Oreochromis niloticus: one gene and its partner. The protein of the gene in region 2 binds, or shares a complex with, the protein of the main gene of each other region. Links are inferred from orthologs where the notes say so. Each region holds a gene or a part of one and is shown on either strand. Other genes may lie near its edges.

Region 1 (7,366 bases), on a different chromosome or scaffold from region 2:
TTGTTTGACATACTTTTATTTCTTGTACAGCTAATAGTATTTCACAAGTATATACAAAAAAAAGTACACATTTCCATCACAAGTCTTCAAAGTTAAGCATGAAAAATCTTGAGGAACCATCGTATAAAAGCATTAATAAATGTTGAATTTCAGATTTTGACTTAGAAAAGTAGCAGAAAGTTTCCAACAGTGAATTATGACCCTGTAATAAAAACTTGGATGGTTGCAAACAGTTTTGACCAGTCTCCTGAAGCAGTCTTTAATCCAGTGTGCCTGCAGAAAAAATAAAGTCAGTAAAACATATTCTGGTTCAAAACTGAGGCAATAAATTCAATACTAAGTGGAATACTGAATTTTGTGCATGTGACGAATTCAATCAGCATCGTAATGCAGACAACTTTAAAAGTTTATTTTTTTTATTTTTATCTTTGTATGGCTTACCTTCGAGAAATGCAAACTCATCTATGGCTTCTATTGCATTGTCTGCAGGGTCAAAAGAAAACAAATGATACAATATTATCACAATATTTTACTCATGGTGTCATATAATTGCGAATTAGCAACATTTTGCAAAATGCTGAGTATTGCAATGACGGATGTTGTGATTTATCACCTTTTTTCAACTGCAAATTATTTCCTCTAACTCTGTCAATCTGTTTTATCCAATAAGATAAAGTTATCTCACTTCAGTTGTCCTTTTTTTTGCTGCAAAATGAGATTCTCAAGAGAACTAACACTGTCACTAAAACCTGCCATAAATTTGCCATAACATGGAGTCAGTCGGTAAGTCATAAATGACATGCAATCTGTTTCTAATAATACGGCAAACTTTGTCAAAAATCACAAATAAGTCCAATCGAGTTGTGCTCATTGACATAGACTCCTTCAGAGTGATGGCAACATGTTGCCAATCTCTCTGCCTTTATCGATTTGATACCTCTGAACAAGCTCTCTGAGAGTGACTGTAGACAGACTAAGTCAAACTGCATCTGTTTGCAGAAAGCCTGCCTCCTATCAGGAGTGTTCAAAAATAGTTGTGAGTATGCAACACCTTCAAGCTCTGGGAAACCATCTAGTCACCACAAGTTACAATCAGTTTTAGAAATGTAAAAAAAGTGAATACAATCGCCATTTTTTTTTGTTTTGTAGCTGCAAGGAGCCTGTTGTCCTATTTTTACTTGTGACTGAGCCATTAGCTTGCTCTGAATTAGGACGTAGTGTGTCCAGTGTTGGATGTTTTTTTGGTTGTACTGATTTAATGTAAGTTTACTTAGCTAACATTATCTCAGGATTTTGGTGCATGAGATAAGCCCTCTTGTTCGTAGCATTCCTAGATTATTATTATTACAAACCATATGTCAAACACACAAACTAAACAGACACGGGTGCCTCAGGTAGGGACCGAAAAGTAAAATTGTTGCTGAAGACAGAACACAGGGGTGAGACACAGGGTATTTCTCTACTGAGTACAAAGCGACATGTGTAGCATGTTTTTGAGTTGTAATGTTGATATTTGAATCAGTCACAGAAAAGGAACAGGGGCCTAAAATTAAAGCACGTCCTGTTTCTTCAAGTCAAATCTCAGCGTGATGTAGCTGTTATTCTGAGAAATATGCACAACTGTCAAATTCAGGCTTATGAAGCAGGTTGTATAATTATCTTTGCGTAAGACACTGATCACCACTGGAGGGTGACTGTGTCTCTGTTAGGTTAGAAGCACACAGGCACAGAAAAGGCACATATATGAATGGGTGAAAGAGGCTTGCAGAAGGAAAGTGCTTTGATGTTCTTTGATAGAACAGGAAAATGCTATACAAGCACCAGCCCATTTTCTATTTATGCGAGTAGACTTTAAATGGAATAAAGCACATGTTTAATCCACTTACCCAAGTCTTTTCTTTGCAAAGTTTTCCTCTTCCCTTGCTGTGCATACACTAGAGCATCTTTGGCAATCATCTCAACAAACAACTCCTGTACAAAAAGAAATTCAAAAGAAATCATTCAAAATCAACCAGAGAAACTATCAGAAATAGATTTTTTTTTATTAACAGAAGCCACTGATAAAATATATTTGTGCTGAAATGCACCTGTTTTTGCACAACTGGCTGCTCCCTTAACAGTCACCACAGCAGATCATCTGCCTCCATGCCACCCGATCGCTAGCATGCTCTTTCACCGCATCAATGAACCTCCTCTAAGATCTTTCCTCTTTTCTTCTTGCCTGGCAGCTCCACAGTCAGCATCCAATATATCCACCATCTCTTCTCTGTACATGTCCAAACCATTGTCTCTGAAGTCTGTCTTTAACCCCAAAGCACTCAACCTGAGCTGTCCTTCTAAAACACTCTGTTTCTAATCTTGTCCCTCTTGGTCTCTCCCAACGAAAATCTGAGCACCTCCAGCTCTGCTCCTGCCGCCACCATCTCCAAACCTTACATCGTAGCAAGTCTCACTGACACCAGGTCTTGTAAACCTTCTGTCACACAGTCTCCCAACACTCACCTCCACCCTGCCTGCACTCTCTTCTTGACCTCTCTTGAGCACTGTTTGTCCCAGGTATTTAAACTCATCTACCTTTACTACCTCTGCTCCTTGCAGCTTTACTGTTACACCTGTCTCCCTCTCACACATGTATCCCATCTTGCTTCTACTAGCTTTCATTCATCTAGCATGAAGTTAGTTCAGTTTGACTCTAACGTTTTCGTTAGACTGTGCGTTTATTCCAAAGGTTAACCTAGACTAAAGTTTAAATATACTTCAGTAATTTCAGGTTGATAAATTTAGGTCATGGCTGATAAATAAACTAAAATGAAATATAAACATTTAAAAAATAGATTATTTACTATCTGCACTTAAGTTTGATAGCATCATATAGAGAGTCAGCACTCGTGTTACCAGGACCGGTTAGGATATCAGTGGTCTCACCGTGGCTTTAGCGATGATGAACACAGACTCCTGGCTGGCGAGGGACACGTCTGGGTCGGTCTTCATCAGAGCCTTGATGCGGGCCAGCGGGAGTTTGGACAGCCGGCTGTGGCTCACCGTGACTGGGCCCGTCTGCTGCTGGCCGCTGTCCTCCGCCTCGGCCCCGCGGGTCTCCTCCTCACTCTCACACCGGTCAGGGTCGTGCTCCGTTGCGGTCACAAGACTCGTCGTCACTGTTGCTGCCATTTTCTGATATTTTGCGCTAATTCTATGACTTAAGAAATAAACACACACGTAGAAACGACTACAGTTTAATAGCTACATGTCACAGATAATAACATCAACAACCGCAGCGGGCGCGCGCCAGCATGTGGTTCCGGGCTTTCGTGAGAAGGCCTGCGCTGATTCGTCAGTGAGTGCAGGCCCCGCCAACTAATCCTCTTCGGTGATTGGACAGATTGTGAATCCAGGCCTCGCTATTGGCTAAAGTTAAACGTCATTCACCGCACATTGCCGCCTAGATAGCGGGGTGTAGCCAGAGCCCTACTAACCAAGGGGTCGGAGTGTAGACACGAAGTCGCAGGTGAAGTTGGCCACAAATAACACTTTGCTATTGTATGGTTAAAATATATCGTTTTTATAACTTTGTAATTTTAGATTATTTTGTGTATGCGCTAAATGTTATTTTTTGTTACATTTCCCTAAAAGTGGGAAAACTCATCTTTACTCCTCAATATTTCCACTAGGGGGCAGTGGGAACAAACTATTAAAAACAACCCTGTACATCAGTACTGTACATCAATATACTCTATTATGAACTTGGTGAAATATAAATGGCTTATACAGACTTCAAGTCAGTAAAATTGCATTCATTTGAAGTTTTGTTTCTATCTGGTGTCCAGTATTAGCTCTACTTTTAATTATTATTGTTGCTGTTAGATTCAACGCACTGTGTGGATTCCTTCATCAGCTGACACAGAGGTCATCCAAGTGTGGCTGTGGTGTATGGCTATGGCTGAACACTTTACCATCTAATATCATAACACCTGCAATCTTTTTAAGCTCGCTGATTTTGTGATATTTAGAACTTGATTCATTTAAACTCTTTTTCTGGGCTCTCTTGTTATGTGAATACAGTATGATTAATCGGAAGCTGAAGTTTGCTCTTATGGTCTCATGTTATAGTCTTTATTAACTAATTCTCAGTTATTTCAGCTGCTGTTTTATCTGACAACAGTGTTTGGGTTTCAATTGAATGAATTCATAGATTCTCAGACATTCTTTTCATCCATATCTAACAATATTGGCATTTTATCCAATTATGGCATATATGTTCACATCATATTTTCTCCTGTGTAAAACTGAAAAAAAAAATTAAAAGTCTACAAAACCTCTATTTCAGAATATACTGCCGCTTTATTTTCCTTGTGATAGTTTCCCTCATATTTACCAAAATCTGCAATGCTTATGACTTTCTGGTAACTTGTCACTTTCACCGATGAGTACAGTGTTAGACCCACAAACCTTCTTCTTCTGCCTATATTAATAAAAACATCTTCCCTTCATATGCATTTTTAAGGAATAAATGGCAAAAAAGCCTGATGTAGCAAATAAGATAGAAATTAAAGCTCATATATGCAAATTAATATTAATTAATTTATTCTTATTTCATTAGAAGGTTCCCTAAACACTCTATTTCCAAAGAAAATTTAATTTTCTGGCAGTTATTTGAGAAAATCACTATATTAATATGCTTAATATGGTTCAGGCTTTAAAGTGTTAAAGAGCCTAAAGAGCTATTAAAGCTTAAAGCTGTGCATTTAGTAATCTGCTAGTTCTTTTATGTTTCTCTACGTGTTTGCGTGGGTTAGGGTTAGTTTTCCGTCTCTCTGTGTTAGCCTTGTGTCAGATTGGCAACCTGTCCAGGGTGTACCCTGCCTCTCACCCTATAGTAGCTGGAATAGGCTCCAGTCCACCTGCAATAGAGCATCTAAGCACATTAAACTCTTCTTACCTGAATATTTTAATGTATGAAGCTGTTTTCATTAGCACTTTATTTTATTCCAGAAAGTTATTATAACACTTTTTAGTTTTTATTTATTTATATATTTTTATATATTTTTTTTTAGAGCTTGACGTTGCCATCTGACAAACAATAAATATGGTCTAATGAAAAGAACGCCCACTAGCTTGCTTTCATGTGTAAGTTACATGAGCATTATCATCAGTAGGAAAGCGAGGCATGCTTATTTTTATTCTTTGAAAGTATCTTTGCAGCATTTCCATTGTGTCAGGTCATGTCAGCAGTCCACTAATACACTCTGTTAATAGGATTGTGAGGACTGCTTTAGTCCACTGAAGCTCCATTCACATGTTCAGCCACAGTCAGGTGTTACACTCTGAGGAAGAGATATGAAGGACTCACAGCTCCCAGGTAAAATATTTTAGTTTTATTACTGTTAATGATCAACTAATGTGATTTGTTTCTTTTTCGTGTTGTTTTCAGAATTAGATGTACCTTTTTAAAAAGTACTTTAAATCATCTGTATAGAATCTCTTATCAGCTGTAGCCTTGGTGATTAGTAAGATTTAGAAAACCCATATTTGGATGATTTAAAATTTTATTCTATTTCAGAAGTGCCAGATTGGCAACTGAATATAGCTCCACTCTTATATGGGAATTTTCCACAAAAGATGATTCAAAGCTACTCATTAAATCTCATTCATTGCTATTATTTTTCACAGTGACTACATCGCTCCAGTCATACAAGCAGTTACATTTACAGGTAGATTTAACAAGAATAATAGAAAAGCTGTTTCACATGGATCCAAATGCTGATAATAATCATCTGCCTGCTCAGTTTCATACGCAGTGTGGAAGTGTAATCCTAATTTGGCAGCTCTGTTCATTCTTGTTCTGCCAGTCTAGTCTTCATTAGCATCCTATAAATAGCTGTCTGCAAGCTAAATGGCTCTAATTCTCCATCTAAAAAACCCAAGTAATCCTCGGCTATATTTGATCGACAAAGTCCAAGAGGAGGAAAAACATAATCGCACTGTAATGTTTAATATTTGTTTATTATTATTGGTAATAGTTGACTGGCTGGTTCATTTTGCTCACAGTCATTTTTGAGAGGTTATGCGTGCTCTCCAAGATGCCCACACAGGATTCAAGTAGCCAGTCTGGCACCTGACCTGACTGTCGGGTCAGATTTGAGACTCTATGCAATGCTCAGACTGTACTGCACAATTTCCTGTAAAAACAAAAGAAACACCGTACGAGGCAATCGTTCGAGCCAAACCATTGTTCTGTTTGAGAGAAATTTGTACACTATCAAAAAAAAAAAATTAAATTAACATGCTGATTCTTAAGAACTGCGTCCAAAAAATGAAAACTTCAATTCCCAGAGCAGAAAAAACAGGAACGGTCAACATCCTGCTTTTGTCCATTAAAAATGAAAACGGACATATTGAAATCCATTTACCATGATCCAGAAATCATGTTTCCTGCATAGTAATCACAACACTAACCCCGCAGAGGTGCGGTGTTGAAAGTATTTTCAGAAACGGTGTGAGTGGAAGCTCTAACCAGGAGAAGAGATTCAGTTTTATTCATTTCAGATTATACTTTGTTTTTGTTCTCCTAAAGCAAAAGAATATAACATTAGCAGATGAGTGATAGCAAAATAAATTAAAATCCAGTTTGCCACATTCTTGTCCATCATAGCATCATTTTCAATAATATCCACTGACAGTTTAAAAGTGCAGATAGAAACTAGGGTTAAATTTAGGCAGAATACAGCCTGACGTTTTGACTTATGTGGGATGTACAGTTACATACCAAGTAAGTTGGCATTGAGGTCAATCTTATTATCCATGTCCCATACAGCTCTACTTACACAACTTGTGTGCGCACTGAGTTTTGCACACACAAAGGTGTTTGTCTAAGAAGCGATGTCGTCTCGGTCTAAAGGAAATCCTAATATTTCTGCTATTTCACACAGCACTGCTGCAACATTTTCACACTATTTTTGCTTTTACTTCCAAGCCATCAAAATGCGTCTGTGGCCGAAACAGAAAACAAGCAAAAAATCCAAAGATGACTCTCCGAAGACGCAAAAACCAGCCAAGCCCCTGGCTTCTGCTGCCACGTGTGCCATCCCGCAGCTGACTGACGCAGAGAGGATGAAGCAGTCTCCGTTTGAGAGGATCGTCTATGACATGACCCACAACGAGAAGATCGTCAATGACCTCGTGCTCGGTAGAAGGGTCGGCTTTTACGAGCTGCGTGGAGAAATCGGGCAAGGCAACTTCTCTACAGTTAGGCTGGGCATCCATGCCTTGACGAAAGGTAAAGAACCATCAGTTATTTAGGATGTTGCGTCCCAGTTATTCAGTCACCGTTAGTCATCTTTTTTATGTGTTTCAAACTCATTCCTGC
Region 2 (7,353 bases):
TAATAAAGTGTTCACTGCAGCCACTGCCTGTAATGTATTCTACCCACTTCACCTTTAAAGTAAGTAACTGGCTTTTACAGAAACAGGAAATAGGCTTACCAATCAAAGAAGTCTCCATTGTAGGTCACAAAGATGTTTGGCTTTGTTTCTTGAACGTGATCAAACCACCTCTGAATGAGAGCTGCCTGCAACCGTTACAGCGTGTTATTAAACTGACAGAAACACACAGCAGCCTTTTATACATCAATGCTTTATTGTTAGTGGCTACATACCTCATTGTCCTCATTAAAAACAGTGAATGGCCCTTCATACTCAGGTTTGGGGGTAAACTCAAAATCCTCAATGTTCTCAGAGACGATCTCTCGGTTTGTGATTAGAAACCCCTACGTGAAAACACAAGGATTGTTAGATGATATTACAAACAGGATCATAACAAAAACTTTAAAAATCAAACGCAAATGAACCTCACCTGTCCATCTATCATGTAGGAGATCATCATAATTTGATCCGTCTCCGCGTCTGGGAATTTCAGCGGAAGCTTGGTGGTCTCGATGTCAAACGCCAAAACAACGGGGTCCTGCAGGGAAACAGCGTTTCACAGAAAAGCCCCGACATAAATCAAAACTTCTGTATAACTCTGAATGGATGATGGAAGGCTTAAAACAACAAAATCCTGATACCGGTCGCTCCACAAGATCGTCTCTCCGTACAATCTCTGGCGGGTAAGCGCTGCCTCTGTATCGAACGTTGTACCAGTGAGCCTGAAAAATAAAGACAGTAAAGATAAGAAGAGCACGCACAGGTGTAGAGGAACATTTCACTGGAAAACACTGGAACCAGATATAGTTGATCTTACCACGTGGATCTTGAGGTCAATGGACACACGCACATGGTAAGGCACGTCATACTCTCTCATGTCCACTATGTTGTCTAACTGATCTGAAATACTCTTTGACATCCCGTCTTCATCCACTGAGGTCACGTTGCCTCCTGATAGCGCACTAAAAGGACAAAAAGGTGTCCGGGAGTTATTATAAAGCTGGAAACGTCAGGCGGAACATCAAAGGAATCTAACGGGATCGAAGGTTCGGTGATACCTTGACAACATTGAGGTGTAGGCATCGTTGGACTGCTCCCTCTCTCGGTTTTTACGTACCGCCGGGGCAATCTCACGCTTGACCTTCACGAGGTCGTCCACGGTGTTGAACGCCAGCTTGATGTAGTTTCTCTTCAGTCCGACAAGGTGGTTTGGCTGGAGAGACCAGATCAGCAGAATCAGCATGTGATTGGCTGTACAAAGTCAACACTAGCAGCCAATAGGGTTCATGATACCTTCAAAAACACTGATATTCAAGAGCCGTTTTTTTTTTAAATACTAAGGACAAGAGTGCCACAGTGGTAAGAGGATATATTTTTTTAGATTTTTCTTAAAAGACGTACACTCACTTGACCACTTTCTTAGGTACAGCCATTCAACTGCTCACTGAAACAAACCACCCAATCACATGGCAGCATCTTAATGCATAAAAACAAGCAGAAGTGGTCAAGACGACCCGCTCAAGTTCAAACTGAGCATCAGAATGTGGAGGAAAGATGATTTAACGGACTCTGAACGTGCCATGCCTAACAGGCTGGTCTGAGTATTTCATAAACTGCTGATCAGCTGAGTTTTACCTTCATAAACATCTCTAGAGTTTACCGAGAATAGTCCAAAAAAAAGGGAAAATATCCAGTAAGTGGCAGTACACCTCGTTGATACGACATTTTGATGGTTGAGTCAGAATCTGACATAAGCAACGTGAAAGCATGGATCATCCAGCCTTCCAGCCCAGTACTAGTGAGACATATCTAATGAAGTGTCCGGTGAGCATACATAAACAGATTAGATTTCTATATGACTGAAAATGTGTTGTGGTGGCGCTCTTGTCAAAAATCATCCATTAATTAACTGCCAACTATTCCTTCATTAATTCTGTGTAAATAAATATAGAAAATATTTATTTATCTACATTTATTTGACTTATTTATTTACTAACTATTTATTTATTAGATAACTTAAAGTCAGTTGAAACTCTCACCAGGTCCAGGTCTTCTTTTGGGAGAATTTCGAGCTTTGCCACCTTTCCTTGGAACTTCTTAGATAAGTATGAGATGACTTCTCTCTCGCAGTTCTGGACATACACATTTTGTTATTTATTACTTTTTAAAAAACATGTTCACTTGGCATAATCACAGTCACTAACTTACCTTTTTCGTCGCAATGTAAAAATATGGCTTGAAGGGCAGAGACACCTACAGCACAGACAGAATACATGAGAGAAAATGTAAAATGCAGGGCATTTAATAAGCTGCGTTACAGCACTCTGCTTTCCCCCCAAACACACCTTGAACCTGCTTCCATCCTCCTGTATGAAATAATAGTCCACCGCGCTGATCATCCTCTTGTCTTCATCCAGGATCTCTGCCTACAAATGCAGAGCATCAAAAATAAATGTTAAGTGTTTATTTTGCAGCAGACAGAAAGTAAAAACTGTCTCACTGCGAGGACTCACGGGGTGCATGTTGATCAGCCAGCCCGTTTTCTCTCCCGGCTCCTTCATCCTGTCGAATCCGAAGCGAGCGTCCATCTCGTCGGTGAACTGACTGCGCTCCAGCCGCTTGAGGGCCGATAAGGAGGATCCATCATCCCTGGTTCAAACACACGCAACAGTGACACTAAATCCTCACAGTCCTCGGTCATCCATTAATATTCTGAATAAGAAAGTGTTATGAAGTTTTTGAGCTGCTGGACTTACTGGCTTTCCGGATCCCCACTCGGTCCTCGGTCCGCTTTGTAGCGTCCACTGTTCTGCAGAACCATCTTCTATCGCGATGTTCTGGTTACAAAACACTAAAATAAAACAGCTAAATGTGTGCGTGAAGCCGCATTTGAAGACACGTCGCTTTAATTTCAAAGTTTTGTCTGCTGGATTTCTCTGCGCCTGTCACAGACTCGCCTGCTGTTTTCCTATTTTGGCGCGTTCCTGCAGTTGCCGCGAGAGGACGGAGCTGAGAACCGGAAGTACAAAGATCGTTAATAAGGGAGATGAATCCCTCACGGTGGTGTTGAGACGTATCTATTTAGGTTGAATGTCATGTTCATTGTAACGTTGGGGCTCATAGATGTGCCTTTAAAAAACAAAACAACAACAAAATAAATAAAAAAAACGTTAGAAAGCAAAGTGTTTACGTGATATATATATATATATATATATATATATATATATACACACACACTTTGATTTTAGTTTTTTGGGTAGACTACTAGTTTTTTGGGTAGACTACTGCTTCCTGGTAAAATTCAGCCTTCCCTGTCACATATTACCTATGATATCATATATGACATGACTTAAAAAACAAAAAACAAAAAACAAAAAAACTGTGCGAAAGGATCTCAATCAGATTTGAGTCTAGACTTTGGCACGGTCTCTCCAAAAACTTCATTTAGCTAAAAAAAAATGTTTCTTTGTTTCTAACCATTCAGTTGTGTACTTGTTGGTGTGTTTTCGATTATTGTCCTGCTGCATAATCCAAGTCCAGCCTTGAGCTTCAGGGCATGATCTGATGACCAGACATTCTCCTGCAGGACTTTCTGGTAGAGAATAAAATTCATGGATTCACCAATCACTGCAAGTCTTCCAAGTCCTGAAGCAACAAAGCTGTTCACACTACCACCACCACGTTTGACTGTTGAGTGTGTTCTTTTTATGAAATGCTATGTTAGTTTTACAGCAGGTGTAATGGGACTCAAAAAGTTCAGCTTTTGTCTCATCAGTCCACAAAAATCTCAGGGATCTGGGAAGGGAAGCTGTTTTTTTGTTGGCAAATGTGAGACGAGCCTTTGTGTCCTTTTTGTTCAGAAGTGGGTGCCTCATGGCAAAAAGAGACTAGGCAAAAATGGGTGCCATTTTTGCCTAGTCTCTTTCTTATTATTGAATCGTGATCACTGACCTTAACTGTTCTGGGTGCTCTTGGAGGATGACAACTCCTGGAAAGGTTCATCACACACATAATACAGAATAAACAGGAAATGAAAACAAAGGTGGGCATCATATCAATCAGATTCCATTATTTGAAAAAAAAAGGTGCTTGTTGATACATTGATTTTTTAATATGAACTGAACGGTCTTAAAGTTCAAGTATACTTTTTTCCCATTGTTCATGAACTCAACAGAAGACCGACGAACCAAACATTTTTCCGCTAATCGGAAGATGCTTACTGATTTCTATCGAGCAGGAACATCTCGAGTATACACGATCTTCAGAGGAACCCTTAACTCTGGGAGGAACCCCCTCCCCACGCACATGTTTACTCTCCCGCTGTGGAGTGGAGGTAGTGGTAGGTGACTTTGACATTTGTAGCTGCTGGCGAGGCACTGTCTATAATCATAAAGACATTGGCAGCGGTAGAGTTTGGAGGGATTCTGGGGTCTGTGTCACATTAATAAGATAATGACGGATGTGTTTTAATTCATGATAAGTTCCGAGTGGTGTGGAGGTGTGGGAAATAATCAGTGGGTTTAAATCGGTTAGCCTGGTACTGTTGCTCTCTGGCTGTGTGAAACAACGCAATCAACAACCCGGGAGCAGAGCTGCCCGGTTTCTGAGTGTGTGCAGGTGAGTGACAATGGCATGTTTTGATTTACACGTTAACTTTAACTTAAAAGACAGTCCCGTTTTTCTCCAGACTGAACTCTGGAAAAGATCAGATCAGTGGGCTGATTTAACTTTTATGTCAGGCAGAATCAGTTGTTGTGTTTAGTTCAACTTTTCTGTCAGAGTTCACAGATATTTGTAAGTTTACAAGGTAAAATGTTCACGCCAGAAGTTGGATGCACCTTTTTAAAAGTGACATAAAAAAAAAAAAACTCCTATAAAAAATTGATGTGCTTAACTTTTATTTAAAACAGGGAGTCATGTGAGAATAAGTCTGTTCTTTAAGGAAAAGCACAAGAGAAATAATTCATCTGCTATATGGTATCAGGATATATATTAAGAAAATAAAGATAAAAATGAAAAGTAAAGCTATTTCATAAATACATTCCTTCAGATCTTGTTGTTTCTCGAGGAAAGTGACGGTTTAGCCTTTTCCTTTTTTGCGTCAGCTTTAAATTTGCTCCAAAGGATAAATTCACTAATTTTGTGCTTCTATTATACAGACTGGATGTTAATAAATCTTTATATTTTTTCTTTATCTAAAAAAAAACATAAACAATGAAATCTTTCAATGGGACAAAGAACGCATGTGTCTAATTTAGATTCTGTATTTGGATGTGTTCAAGTGTTCCTGCTATTGCTGCTGTTTTTTATGGATGTTTTTTTTTCTTTCCCATCCTCCTTCACCTGAACTTCCCTTCCTTTCATTCCCTCAGTGCTGACCTTTACCCCACATGAAGCAGCGCATGCTCTCCATGTCAGCTGTTACAGGCAGGCTGTTTACAGGACTCTCGCTGGGAAATGTAGCCTGCAGCCAGGTCCAGCTGTCATAGATAACACACTCATGTGTGTATGCATAGGACTTAGTCACCTAAAGTATACACGTGACCTCTGAGATTGTAATTACTTCTCTTATTCTTACTTCTGTTTGACTGAATTTACTGAATAATTTACTTAATATATGAAAGTAAGAACTTCAGTGTTGCTGTCCTGAGAGAGTGTCTGACCTCTGACCTTCAAATCAGCAACTTAAACAGTACACAGAGACAAACACGACTTAGTATTTCAGTTTTTCTTATAGTCATGATGTATTTTAACATGCTTTAAAGAGGAGTTTATTTTTTATGGGGATTCATTAAGTTTGGACATCAAAAGAATTGTGCTTTTTCCAATGCTTGGAGAAAGACAAATATTTAATAGTGATAATAGTGATCTTTTAAAAAATAGTCTTAAACATTAAGTATATGAACAGTTGCCCAATTAAAACATAATAATGGCTGAAAAAAGCAATTACTTAGTTGTTTTCTTAGTTGTTATAGTCATCATTTGCCCTGAAATGGCAAGTTAAAACAGTCTATCCCATTTTTAAAATCTAGAAATGTCTTTTTTTCCATATTTCTTTGGGGTCATTTAATCTCAAATCACCTTTTACTTGACCATATTTTCCAAAAAACAATTTAATGCTGGAAATTGAAAATTTTGCATTATGTATCACAATCCTTTATACCCTGATAGTGGCCTTTCCTGCCATTAAAAATTAGTCAGGATCTGTAATTTGGGAAAGTTACACTGAAAAATTGGGAAAAATCTAAAAAATAAAAAATAAAACATGAAAGCAGTCCTTTAAAAAAATGCAACAATGTTTCATATGAACCAAGAATTCATTTTTCATTCCGCTTAATGAATCTTAATTGATTTACTGCATTTATTTGCATGTTCAGAGAAGATTATGTCCTTACTTGTTGTCTTTTTAATGCGTCTTAATAAATTTTATTCTTAACATGAATTATCAGACTCATCCAGGACAAAGTGTATGTGGTTTTTGATAATTAAAATCCTCCACATATTTAACAAAATTATTCTCTCAGATAGACTTAATGTACCACCTGGAAACTCCAGAATGTAGTTCTATTGCGATTAGACTATCTACTGATATTTTTGTTTTTTATGGTCCGACATGTCATATTTGGTCAATCCAGCATGAAAGCTGAACAAAAATAGCATTTTATTTTTCATTTTTGTGACTAAGAATTTCCTATTTATAAAGTCCTTTACATATTTTATTTTCCATTATTCTCAAATACAACTATAGACCATTCAGACATTGTCATTAGTTGTCTTTTGCAGAGTTAAGTTTGTTTTATTAATGTATATTCAAATATGGGACTTCACTGAAGGCTTTCATTACAGTGTCAAGGTCAAGGTCAAGGTAACTTTATTTATAGCCATAGGCGAGGTAAATTTGCTTTACAGTAAAATGACAGCATTTGGCATCCCTTCAATGCCAGCAATAGAAACGAAAAGAAACGATGAAAACTTAAAAACTTAGGACACCAAGCTCTCATTCACTGCCGGTCGCTGTGTGTGCATGTGCCCAAGCAAGGCCTGAAAGATAGGCTTTACAAAAACTAGGATAGGAATTCACAGGCAATTATCATACATGTCCAAGATTTCCGGCAACTCAAAGATGGTTCATGATCAAGAAATGAGATGATTTGAGATGGAATGACCCTTTTGTGTTTTAGATGAAAATTACAGCTGCAGCTTTCAGCCACCAGGTGGTGACTGACACTAAACTATTTTTCACATTCATAGTTCAGACTCCAGTTTTTAAAGCACTTATAAAAAATCCATTCCAAGTGTCAAAAAGACGGTCGG

Evidence for each region.
Region 1: pole (region 2) and pole4 share a complex: the UniProt entries of both Homo sapiens proteins name them as parts of the DNA polymerase epsilon complex. The link is inferred for Oreochromis niloticus from reciprocal best matches to the Homo sapiens genes POLE and POLE4.

Annotation. Positions count from the first base shown.
Region 1 is NC_031986.2:41,692,997-41,700,362, reverse strand, and holds the start of pole4 (DNA polymerase epsilon subunit 4), read right to left. Parts: upstream 3,311-7,366; 5' UTR 3,172-3,310; coding exon 2,926-3,171; intron 1,972-2,925; coding exon 1,887-1,971; intron 484-1,886; coding exon 442-483; intron 274-441; coding exon 260-273; 3' UTR 1-259. Other genes in the region: serine/threonine-protein kinase NIM1, read left to right, coding at 6,880-7,276. UniProt on the Homo sapiens protein: Accessory component of the DNA polymerase epsilon complex. Participates in DNA repair and in chromosomal DNA replication.
Region 2 is NC_031977.2:17,883,627-17,890,979, forward strand, and holds the start of pole (DNA polymerase epsilon catalytic subunit A), read right to left. Parts: upstream 3,046-7,353; 5' UTR 2,861-3,045; coding exon 2,796-2,860; intron 2,689-2,795; coding exon 2,553-2,688; intron 2,466-2,552; coding exon 2,385-2,465; intron 2,293-2,384; coding exon 2,248-2,292; intron 2,172-2,247; coding exon 2,079-2,171; intron 1,253-2,078; coding exon 1,098-1,252; intron 1,002-1,097; coding exon 857-1,001; intron 762-856; coding exon 681-761; intron 578-680; coding exon 470-577; intron 384-469; coding exon 273-383; intron 186-272; coding exon 100-185; intron 1-99. UniProt on the Homo sapiens protein: Catalytic component of the DNA polymerase epsilon complex. Participates in chromosomal DNA replication.